Linked DNA regions of Oreochromis niloticus. The protein of the gene in region 2 purifies or fractionates together with the protein of the main gene of each other region. This does not show direct contact. Links are inferred from orthologs where the notes say so. Each region holds a gene or a part of one and is shown on either strand. Other genes may lie near its edges.

Region 1 (3,753 bases), on a different chromosome or scaffold from region 2:
GTGGCCAACAATAAAAATCAATCGAGGGGGGGAAAGGGGGGAAAGTGAATTAAATGAGCTGAACGTAAGATAAGTGGGCTGAGGTAACTTCTTGAATGAGTGGAGCATTCAGGGTGACGCCATGCAAGGAGCAGTTTATGTCTGTGTGCAATACACAATCGAGCCGCAAGGGGGCAGTAATCGCACATATGTTGAGCGTTATTCTTCTTGCCGTGCTGTGTGGCTTGACTAGCTGTTCAGGAAGCTTTGAAATATTCATGGGTGTAGCCTATATGCCAAGATTGAAGCCTCAGGGAGTACCTGGTCTTTTCAATACATCTATTGTCACACTTGTGCAAACAGGCGAATCAACACAGTAAAACTGGTTGCTTGAGGTTAGTTTGGCAGGGTGTAATCCGATGTAAATTAAAAAGACTTTCAAAGACTTTTTCTCTTATTTTGTCTGGCAATGAGTAAAAAGTGGTTAACCCAACTTCACTGAAGAGATTTCTGCCCATTCTGCTACAGTAATGCACACAATATTTTACTGCGTTTCAACAAATAGCTAGTTTAAATTTAATCAAAATAAATAAAAACTTTATTTGGCGTGTTGATGTAATGTACATATTAAAAGCAGGAAATAAAGAAAAATACACACATATACCCTCGAAATGTGTTGCCAGCATGCTTTCACTCTGATTAAATTATTAGGTACACATCTTGCCATTTTGGGTACACCTTTGAAAACTTCATGTAGATCTGTGTAGCTACCTGAAACAGTCGCTGGCCCTTTTATTGTGTGCGCAATCTGTCTGATCTATATAAACACATTTTGCTTCATCTGCCTCCCACAGTCTGTCTCCATTCTCTCCAGCTGTCCATTTTGATCACATAATTCTGGAACAAATTAAAAAAAAAAAATCTTTTCTTTTATATGTTGGTGAAGTTCATTGAACTTTTCTTGACGCAATGTCGTCCAGCTCCACATAGGCAAAAATAACTTGAGTTCAGAAGTCTTTTCTGGTTTTAAAGCCCTTCAATTCTCAGATATGTTTTTATTTCATTTTTTAAAGCACTTTTAGAAAATGCATTTCAGATTTCAGTTTTTGTTCGTTATTCTGTGAAATATTCTGGGTTTTTTGTACTGCTGCTTTTTAGACTTTATGATTTAATATAATCAAACTGGTTCAATAAATTAAGTTTCAGATACTTCAAGTATATCAGGTATGTTTCTAATCATTATTTATATAATTAAAATTATTACTGCTGCCATGGGAGCGGAGGTGGGCTTTTACCGGTGTTTCTCGTGTTTGAATTCTCGCGAGATTTCGGTGTCTCGGTTACCTACACGTCCTGGATACTCCAGTTTCACTGTTGAGAAACATCATCATAGTAACCCGGGAAAGGCGACCTCGGAGGCGGGTGGCGACATTTCTTTGAAGGAATCTCACAGCGAAACACGGGAGACGTTGTTCTCTGGACTAACTCTGAGGCGATGGGTGAATGTAGAAAAAAGTTGCTGGATTAGTTGGCAAAACTGCTAACTGACACTGGTTTTCCACATCGTTAGCTGATGCTAACGTTAGCAAACATACAGCTGAACGAAACTGAAGAAGTCGCCCGGAGAACTTTGGATTTTCTTATCATGAGGATATCGACATAAATGCGGACATCTAGACGCACCGGATCGTTTCACTGAAGGTACATATTATTACTCTCCTAAAACTGGAATAGCCAAGTACATTCATGATTTTCTATTCAGCTAGCGTTATTATTCACTCTTTCGAGTTGGCGGCTCCGACTATTCACTGGACCGAAGACATTACGCGGTACCTCATCTTTAAGTCAGACGGTATAATGAGTTACAAACATGATTTTTGAGCGCACGCAGAGTATATTGGACGACTTAACTTAGTTATTGTGAAAAACAATAATTATGAAAAATCCGTAATACCCTGGTTCTAAGTTAACACCCAATACGAGATATAAGATTAGTTTTGTTGTCCCGTTGCTCGAGTGAATAATTCCTGGATACTGTTAGCTATATTCTTTGAGTTTAAAGGCTTTTGAGTTTACTATTACTTCCTGTTTCGCATAGTTATTGTTTAACAGAATCGATAATAACAGGGCTGCTGTTAATACTGACTACAGATAGCGTTTGGATATCTCCTGATGCGCTCAGTCTGAATTCGTGTATTTCGGGCACTCGGCATTTTACAACAAGATGATATTTTTATTTGAAGGTAAGGTAAACTTATTGGCGCCGTATTCGGCGGCATAAATGCAACTCCAGGTGGCTCTAAAGCGACTATAAACACAACTAAGATCGAGTCCTGATGATTTACGCGTAAGTCAATACAGCTCATGTAAAGTTGAAGATGGCCAATTATTTCCTCCTTGCTGAACGACTGAGGTGCTGTTAAGTAACCTTTTGTACACTAGTGACACATGTGGCGTGAAGCTGCATTGCAGCAGTCAATGTCCCTGTGTCAGTGTTTTTGTAATATAGGTTCTTCCCGTGTGCGGCAGCACCGAGCCGCTGCTGCTGAAAGCTGCGTCAATCGGTTAACGAGAAGAAGTTATGCGCCATCTTGGATTTTACACGGCATTAGTGGTGAAAACACCTCCACTCTATCGGTGAAAGTGTTTTTGTCATTAAATTCTCACAGAGTATCCTCCTTTACTCCGTTGATATGTTGCCAAAGAGTTTGATTTCTCTGTTGGAAGTTTGGGGTCTCAATATATTTTCGTTTTCAAACTTTAGAAGGCCCAAATGTCTAAAAGCAGTGTGTTCACTTATACAGGAATACAGGATCATTCCGTTATACAGTAGTATTTTAAACCTGCCCTCTGTAGACTGTCTGGGTTTTACATTTACATTTAATCGGCAGAATAAGTTCACTTTGGTTGAAATCCCCCTGTTCTTTGGGTTAAATAAACTTGTGAAAGAAAAAGAGTGTGTTTCAAAAATGCTGGGGTGTGCAGTTTTTCTAAACTTAGCCAACGTCAGCATATTTCCGTAGTGAATGTGACAGCCCAGCAAAACGACATTTCCTTGTGAATTTGCTAACTTTACAAAAAGTTTAATGTTTCAGAGTTTAGCTGCTCTTTGTGTGGCGTTTTGGATTCGCACAACAGCAAATACAGCGGTCTGTGGTAGAAAGCAGTCTTTTAATAACTTTATAGAGTCGAGTGTATACTATCAGTAATTTGTTTATGGCTCAGAAAACAGAACAGGGAGGGCCACTGAAAAAGAGTGGATTTAGTTTTCTTCTTCTTCTTCTTCTCCTTCTTTTTTCCAATCTCGCCCCCAGGGCTGTGTCACGTGATTGTTATGAGGCAAAGGCATGACTTCTCAAGAATTCCTCATGACTCAACAAGTGTTAAATGTTAGTACAAAACACCCTTAAGTGTCTCACTGACTAGACTTGACTCTCGCAGATCTGTGCTGTAATTATCTGAATACATTGGCAATCGTTAATGCTGTAGTGGAAGACTTTTTCCTACTCAGGACAAAACAGCTAACAGACTTGATATATGCAGTGCCTACCATTAAAGCAGACATGTGACTAGCATTACAGGTGTTTTGAGTAAACATCACATTTTTGAGTTGTGCTTACCTTTTAGGAATGTGAGGCTGTAGAACCCGTTTTAAATGGCAGGGTAGCAGTGTTATGCTGTTGCTGTGTGACAAATTGCATACCTTTGCCAAGCCATGACTACTTTGCATTTAAACTTGTTAATATGTTGGGTATGAACTGTAGTGCCTCGTGT
Region 2 (3,753 bases):
GTGGATGGAGCTCCGTCGTCGGCCATAGCTCCGATGTTAGGCCGGCCGTGCTGCTTCTGATACATGCAGCTGCGCAGAGACGGCGGATGCTCCGTGATCCACCGGCGGTCCGTGCCCGTGCGTCTGCGCGTGCTTCTCTGCTTCCTGCTCCTCCTCCTCTTCCCCTCCGTCTGCCTCCTCCTCCTCCTGCTTTCTCTTCAGCTCAGTCTCAGAAACATCTTTTGGCATCTGGCTGAAGAACACACACACAAACAGCTCACCTCATCTGAAGGCAAAGTCTTTGTTTCATCGTGTGAGTATGGAAGGACAAAACTGACAAAACACTAAATCATTAACTAATAAATTAATTCATTTTTTTAAGTCTGTCGGTCGCACTCAAAACTGAGGCACTGACGGTGTTTTACTGTATGTGACAGCCATTCCTGATTTTATCAGAATCAGAATACTTTATTAATCCCTAGGGAAATTATGTGGGTTACAGTTATAGAATAATCCTTTAATTGTCCCACAAGTTGCGCCAGTACAGTAGCATTGACAAAAACAAACTAGACCATTTATCAATACAATATGTTAAGATATGAAGAATAGCCCAATATATACAATATATACAAATAATAAATATTCAGGGTTGACAGATGTGATTATAAATAAATATCAAGAAATTGACAGAAACATTACAGAGTAAGAAAGAGTGTGTGCAAAAAGGATGTAACTATTGTAGTGTTTAGTGTGTATTAGATGGACGAGTTGTACAGGGAGATGGCCACAGGCATTTTGGTAATCTCTGGTAACATTTTTGTATGCAGTATTCCGTGCAGTACAGTGCAGTATTTTTACTCACTGGGGATGTTATGAGTCTTCTATTTTATTTTTCGGCCCCTGTGAAGCTTTTTGTAGCAGAGGTGGAACGACTGCACAGTTATGGATCTGATGTGAAGACAGACTCGGTCTGGAGATACAATAAATACAAGGTCACAAACTAGCTCAGAAAGTTAGAAATCACACAAACGCTCAAATGTAAAAATAAAATAAAATAAAAGTGGAAATAAAATGAAAAACGTGACTCTGAATCCATCTCACGGACCGTGAAGTAAACTAAGGCGTTAACGCAGTTTGTTAAACAGGTAAATTATCCAGCTCCAACTCAGCCTGCAAGCCAGCAGATGGCATTCAGATCGGCTAAAGAGCAACAGAAGAAGAAAGGGCGGAAGTTGCGTCAGATTGTTTTGGTGTGTTGTCCTGGCAGCAGCGGTTAGCTACATTAGCATCTTTAGATTCAGACAGAAACATGTCAGCAGCCGAGGACGACACGGAGCTGCGGGACCTGCTGATCCAGAACCTTGAGAACAGCGGAGCTCTGAACAAGCTGAAGGTGAAAGGTCACGTTTAACGTGAGGCGCCCTGACGGCGGGATAGGCTACAGCTACCCGCAGCTAACAGGCAGCTAACGGCTACTAACCGGCTACTCAGAGACTGTTTTAGGTTTATTTTATTTAACCTGAGAGGAGAGATGAAGTTCTTATTGAGTGTAGAGGCTCAGCAGCTGTGTGAGCTCTGTTGCTGCTGGTGTCGATGAAGCAGGATCTGACCTTTCGAAAATGGAAGTACAGTTTAAACATCCGCGAGAGTAGAGGAGACATTTTATTACTAATAGCGTGTAACTGCGGCTCAGAGTAGAACCTCAAAGCTCACAGCCAAGAAGAAGAAACCTCACAGAACAAATAAAAATGGTTTTCCTTTTTTATTTCCTTTCACTCCCTGTTTTTGTCATGTGACTCGACAGCGTCAGGTGAATGGAGCTGAGAAAGACTCGCCTCCAAACCTGAAACCACTCTGATTTATATCTGATCAGTTTGTGACTTATATCTAAACTAAGCGCTGTGTGGATGGTGGAGGTCTAGTTTCGTGCGTGCTAACTTCAGCACAGGTGGGACCTGTTAGCCTAAAATCTGATCCAGGAGCAAGGAAGATTCGGGCCGAGTGCTCGTATAAAAATAATGTGAAATACAGCAAATGAATGAAACGCTGTTAGTCCTGCGACACGCTGGTGACCCGTCCAGGTGTGTCCCGCCTCGGGGAGAGGCTCCATCCCCCACGACCCTGAATAGAATGAGTGGAAGAAAACTGATGGATGGAAATGAAATAATATTTAGGAAACTCTTTTAGTTTGAAATGTCTGTCATGAATGACATGTATGTATTTACTGATTGGTTTCAATAACTGCCTGTATCGATGACATGTTCCTGCAGGCGGAGATGAGAGCGGCGGTGTTCCTGGCAATGGAGGAGCAGGACAAACTGGAGGTGAGTGATTCACACAGTGTTGATCAGTCAGTGCTGTCCGTCATTGTCCAAGATAAGGACAATGCTGGACAATACCTCCCACTCACTCTGTGAATGGTGGCCAGTCACAACAAGAGCATGAGATTACACGTAATGCAGCACTGAACAACCCCTCCATCTAATGCACAGCACACACTGAAATATCTGCACATAAAAAGGGCAGTGTTAACCATATCTATTTAATTTGTGTAGCATACTGAATTATTTATAATAAGAGCTATTTTGCTATATTTTAACTTTAGTTTAATCAGTTCCTGTTTTTAGTGTCTCGGATCGACTGTGACCACATCATTAATAAAGTATTCAAATTCAGGAACACGTGTGACAGCAGGTTCATGGTGTGTGTAGATTAAAATCAATCGTTCACTCTGGAAAAGTGAACAATTGTGGTGGGAGGAGTCAGGAAGCTGGGAGGAGTCAATGATGGTGTGACTGACCGCTTTGACCTGATCTGAGCTCTTGCTGATGTTTCTCCTCAGAATAAAAGTCCGCTGGTCAACGAGAACCTGACGAAATGTCTCAACACCAAAGACGGTGAGTTCCTCAACTTCCTCTTCCTGCCTGCAGCTGTGAGCAGGTTAACAGCGATGAAGGTCATACTGCTTCATGCTTGCTTCGTGGCTGTTAGTTTACAGTTTTACTAAATTCAGTCCAACAGAAAGACTCATCAGTGAGAGAGTTCAGAAAGGTTTAAATAATTTCAAACATGCTCTAAAGAATCCCTCACTGATGGGAGCACCCGCAAGCACCGCGGCGCAGCATCCGCAGGTTCACGATACGTTTCCTTCTTATCCTGATGTCATCGATCAGCTTCCAGACATCTGATTGGTCAGCTGGTGTGCGATTACAAACATAACCTGTTCTGAAGCAGGCCAGCCTGCAGTATGTGTTACCATGGCAATGAGTAGGAGCTGTGACAGCAAGGGTTAAGCCTGCAGTAACCTCGGTCAGCAGGCGTTGCAGCTCCTGTGTGCCCCACAGGGGGGCGCTGTGGCTTCAGCTGTCAGCTCGTCTCCTCTCAGACCACTGCAGGGAGCAGAGTTGACGAGCAGGAGTTCACCTGGATTTCAGGTGTTCATTGTGACGTTTACATGGTGTCGGTATTTTTATAAGCTGTGCTCCATCAGCAGGAATCCACTAATCAGAGCTCACTCCGACTCACACGCTGAGACTCTGGGTACATTATGTGACTTCCTGTTGGTATGTGATTTTCTGTCCTCTATTCAGCAGTGATGACAACGATGATGATGAAGATCAGAGCGTTGATCTCTTTGGCCCTCGAGGGTGTCACACAAACTTCACAAACACACAGCAGCAGGACGCCACACACATGCACGCACACACACTCGTTTAAACCACTGGGATCGAACTGGAGGCCTGCAGCTGAGTCCTGGTTGGTCTGTGGCATGAG
Region 3 (3,753 bases), on a different chromosome or scaffold from region 2:
TCAACAGGAACTCGGCACACCCCACAATATTTGATCACCACCAACAGACCAGCTACTTCACAAATCCTCCTGAGTAAAGAAACTCTGCCATGCCACCCATTAATCAAGATTAGATATGAAAATATTTCACAAATCTGTTTATCTTACATTCAACAAACACAACTGCTCAATGCAGCCTTTCTCTGCAGTCTGCCAAACAAAAGACAATGCTTTCTTACACGTGAGACGCGCCGCCTGATTGATGGCCCCAAGAAAGAAAGTTCGTTGTCTCATCCTGGACAACTTTCAAAATCTTGAAATCTTTCAAAATGCTTCAAAATCTCGTAAAGGTAGTGCTAAAGCAGTCAACAAAATGACCAAAAAGGAAATGATTACATAGACGACTGTTTCACTGAATTCACTTCTTAGAATGACGTGATCGAAGGTTGTGGCTGTTCCGCCCAAACAAGATATGGAGAGTTGCTGTGTGCTCCTTTAAGTAGAAAAATCACTATAGGATTTAAGAATGGGAGCATCCACAGTTTAACTATAAATGGCACCATGCATCAGCCCCTTAGAATTAAAGAAACTTTTTACACCACATTCATTCAACTAGGAGTAGTTGATTTACCAGAATAGGGATATCTTTATTAATGCATTTAACTCCAAATCCATTTTTGCACAATTTTGCTTAGCCAAAACGGTTATTGTACACATTTATTTCCTAAAATTTAGGCCCAGTGGGGAATGCAGATTAACTTCTTTGATTTCTTTGTAATGACATGTTGAAGTATCATAGTCTTCTTGAGACGTCTCAAGAGGTTCGTCATCTGTTTTATAACTGGATAGTTTATTATGCACTCAAACTTCTCTAAATAGATTATGACTATACAGTCATTGGTTGCGACTCCCTGTGGTATGTTTTACCGCTCCTCTTTGATAGATGGCAGGAGATCTCTGGCTAGAGCTGCAAATGGCACAGTGAGGAAGAAGTGGGCGTGGGTTTGCTGGCACTACAGCGCCACTTTTGAGCGGTCGTTTATGTTGTCAACAATAACAGACCGCTGAAGTTGTCAAGCAGCGTCGAGGAAGAGTCATACATCAGTCCCGCGACGGTATAGTCTTTAGTTGGGTATGAAAGTACATTATATTGTTTTATTTTGATTAAATCCAGTCGTGTAATGCATGAAGGCACAATTAAAAACAGCAGCTCTAGACCCTGATGCTGACATTCACTGCTAGCATAGACGGTCTTTGGTTGCTAGGAGCTGAGCTGAGCTAACGCCACTGATTTAACCTTAGCGCCCTGCATTTAATGAGAGAAAGCGGTTACACTGTGCATAGATAATTGGTGAAGATTCAAAATCAGTGAAAGTCAACAATTAGCTTTGTTGTAAGGTTAACGTTGAAATGTTAACGAAAAACTTGTGGTCTGTGTATGATCTTCAGAAGAAGGGCTGGTTATGGCTTGGCTTAATAGTGACAACTGGCCATCAGTTTCTAACAAAGCTATCGAAATAGCTTGATAGCTTATTTTTGCTGCGGGCCCAGAGGGGGCACTGGCTACCCCCCAAAATTTGCTGGCACTCCCAGTGCTCCCCCTGGAAAGACTGTCCTATGTTGGGAATAATGTAATAAGGTTGCAGAAAAGCTGGTGCCAGTCCTTGGACAGATCACTGTGCATCTCAGGGCCAACATAGAAACAGGAAACGGATCACACTCTTAGATGATCTAATATTTATTTGTATTCCGTGAACAAGTTTGCTGTTAAAGTTAACTCCAGTCTGGGAGAGTGAATCTTAAGCTGCTTCTAGTCAGCTCTGCTGAGAATCAGTAAAGCCATCGTGGGACTTCCACTCAATTAATCGATCAGTTGATCAGCTAAAAGTGATTAATATAGATTTCAAAATCTTATTTGGTTTTCATATTTACCCTATTTTCAGTGATATAAACTTTAATAGCAGGAAATTAAGTAGGAATATAATTCTTTCCTTTCTCTCTTTTTTGACATATTTTCAAGTAACCTAGAGCATAATAAAACTGTAAATTCTGTTTTTGGTGTGCCACCTCAATATTTTCAGTGGCTCGCATATGGCCACCCCATATACTTATTGCTGTGTCTGTAAATGTTATGATATAGCAATACGTTAATAAATAAAGTTGAACAAGTTTGGTAAATTAATTCAGTTCAATTTTAATTTAGTGTCATTTTTATAGCAACAAATCACAGCAACAGTCACCTTAAGGTGCTTTATATTGTAAGGTAGAGATGTGCAATAATATAAAGAAAATTGAAGTAATCAAAAAAACCCTTTGAACAAGCACTTGGTGACTTTGGGAAGAAAAAAAGTCCCATTTAATAGGCAGAGACCTGCAATATAACTAAGCTCAGTTAGGGGCAGTAATTGCCACGACTGCTAGGGGGTGATGGGAGGAAGATGGGACAGAAGACGCACTGTAGAAGGGAGGCAGAGATTAATAATAATAAAAATAAAAGATATCTTAAATATAAGTTGTTTTGAACACCAGAGGAGTCTTTTAGACAAGAATGTTGCATATTCTGTGGATCATTGTTATGATGTATTAATCCTCAAACTTTCAAATAATTAATAACAAAACAATAATTTATGTACCAGTTTACAAGTGATACATAATGTTTAAGAATTAGAACTTTTTCAGCAGATGTCTAATTATATACAGTATATATATTTAAATACCTGCAGTCAACAATCGAGAGCAAAGGACAGCGCACGAGAGAGGTGAAGAAGCGAGTGCAGGTAGGGTGGAGTGGTTGGAGACGAGTGTCAGGTGTTGATTTGTGACAGAAGGATAACAGCAGTGAAAGCAAAGGTTTCTAAGGTGGTAGTGAACCTACAATGATGCTTGGTTTGGAGAAGACGAGGGCGATCTCGAAGTAGCAGAGGTGAAGATGTTAACTTTTCATTGGGAGTGGGCAGGATAGACAAGATTAGAAAAGTATATCAGAAAGACGGCTCAGGTTAAGTGGTTTGGAGGTGAAATTAAAGAGTGGTTTGGACAATATTGGACAAAAGATGTTGAATATGAAGCTGCCAGGCAGGAGGGAAACAGGAAGACTTCAGAGGAGGTTCTTGGTGTAGTAAAGTGGGACACGCAGAGGGTTGGTGTGACAGAACAGGATGCTAGAGATGGGGTGAGATGGACGCACATGATCCTCTGTGTTGACCCTTGAAAGGACCAGCTTAAGGAAAAAGACAAAGATGTAATCATATACACAGAAATAGGAGAATTTTCTACTTAAATTGAAGCAATCGTATGAAAAATACGATATGGTGTAAAAGTAAAGTTGCAGTGATGTGTGCTGTTTTTCATTACTGTGATCTTGAAGTATTCCTACCCATTTACATAGTTCTCTTTGTCTTATTTTGAATATTTTTATTCCTAGATCAAAGATGGTCCAGGACAGCGCTCAGATTCGGCGGCAGGGTGCTCAGGACTTTATGGCTTACTATGAGTTTGCCTGTGCCAGGCAGGAATCTGTCCCCCTTCCTGCAGTTAAAATGAACCTCAACAAAGGGATGCTGGACTTTAATGGAGACAAGCTGAAGCTAACAGACTGGCCACCCGTTCTCAGCTCTATATCCATTAACAAACACCTGCACCACATAGCAATAAGTAGCACACACCAAGCTAGTTTGGCTTCTGGAGAGGCAGGTAAGTTATTGAAACAGTTAATACAATCTTAATTGTCTGTGTTAGAAACTTGTTGATTTTCAGATTTTACTTAAAACAATG

What was found.
Region 1: the proteins of cep43 (region 2) and cep350 purify together in Homo sapiens (affinity purification with mass spectrometry; 6 studies listed by BioGRID and IntAct, counting the BioPlex papers as one, with this or other methods). This does not show direct contact. The link is inferred for Oreochromis niloticus from reciprocal best matches to the Homo sapiens genes CEP43 and CEP350.
Region 3: the proteins of cep43 (region 2) and cep78 purify together in Homo sapiens (affinity purification with mass spectrometry; 3 studies listed by BioGRID and IntAct, with this or other methods). This does not show direct contact. The link is inferred for Oreochromis niloticus from reciprocal best matches to the Homo sapiens genes CEP43 and CEP78.

What each region holds. Positions count from the first base shown.
Region 1 is NC_031986.2:44,022,879-44,026,631, forward strand, and holds the start of cep350 (centrosome-associated protein 350), read left to right. Parts: upstream 1-1,324; 5' UTR 1,325-1,680; intron 1,681-3,293; 5' UTR 3,294-3,368; intron 3,369-3,753. UniProt on the Homo sapiens protein: Plays an essential role in centriole growth by stabilizing a procentriolar seed composed of at least, SASS6 and CPAP. Required for anchoring microtubules to the centrosomes and for the integrity of the microtubule network.
Region 2 is NC_031980.2:25,521,525-25,525,277, forward strand, and holds the start of cep43 (centrosomal protein 43), read left to right. Parts: upstream 1-1,239; 5' UTR 1,240-1,288; coding exon 1,289-1,372; intron 1,373-2,249; coding exon 2,250-2,303; intron 2,304-2,821; coding exon 2,822-2,876; intron 2,877-3,753. Other genes in the region: mboat2b (lysophospholipid acyltransferase 2b), read right to left, coding at 1-65. UniProt on the Homo sapiens protein: Required for anchoring microtubules to the centrosomes. Required for ciliation.
Region 3 is NC_031977.2:24,825,503-24,829,255, reverse strand, and holds the start of cep78 (centrosomal protein of 78 kDa), read left to right. Parts: upstream 1-941; 5' UTR 942-1,094; exon of another isoform or gene 1,095-1,111; intron 1,112-3,403; 5' UTR 3,404-3,410; coding exon 3,411-3,672; intron 3,673-3,753. UniProt on the Homo sapiens protein: Centriole wall protein that localizes to mature centrioles and regulates centriole and cilia biogenesis. Involved in centrosome duplication: required for efficient PLK4 centrosomal localization and PLK4-induced overduplication of centrioles.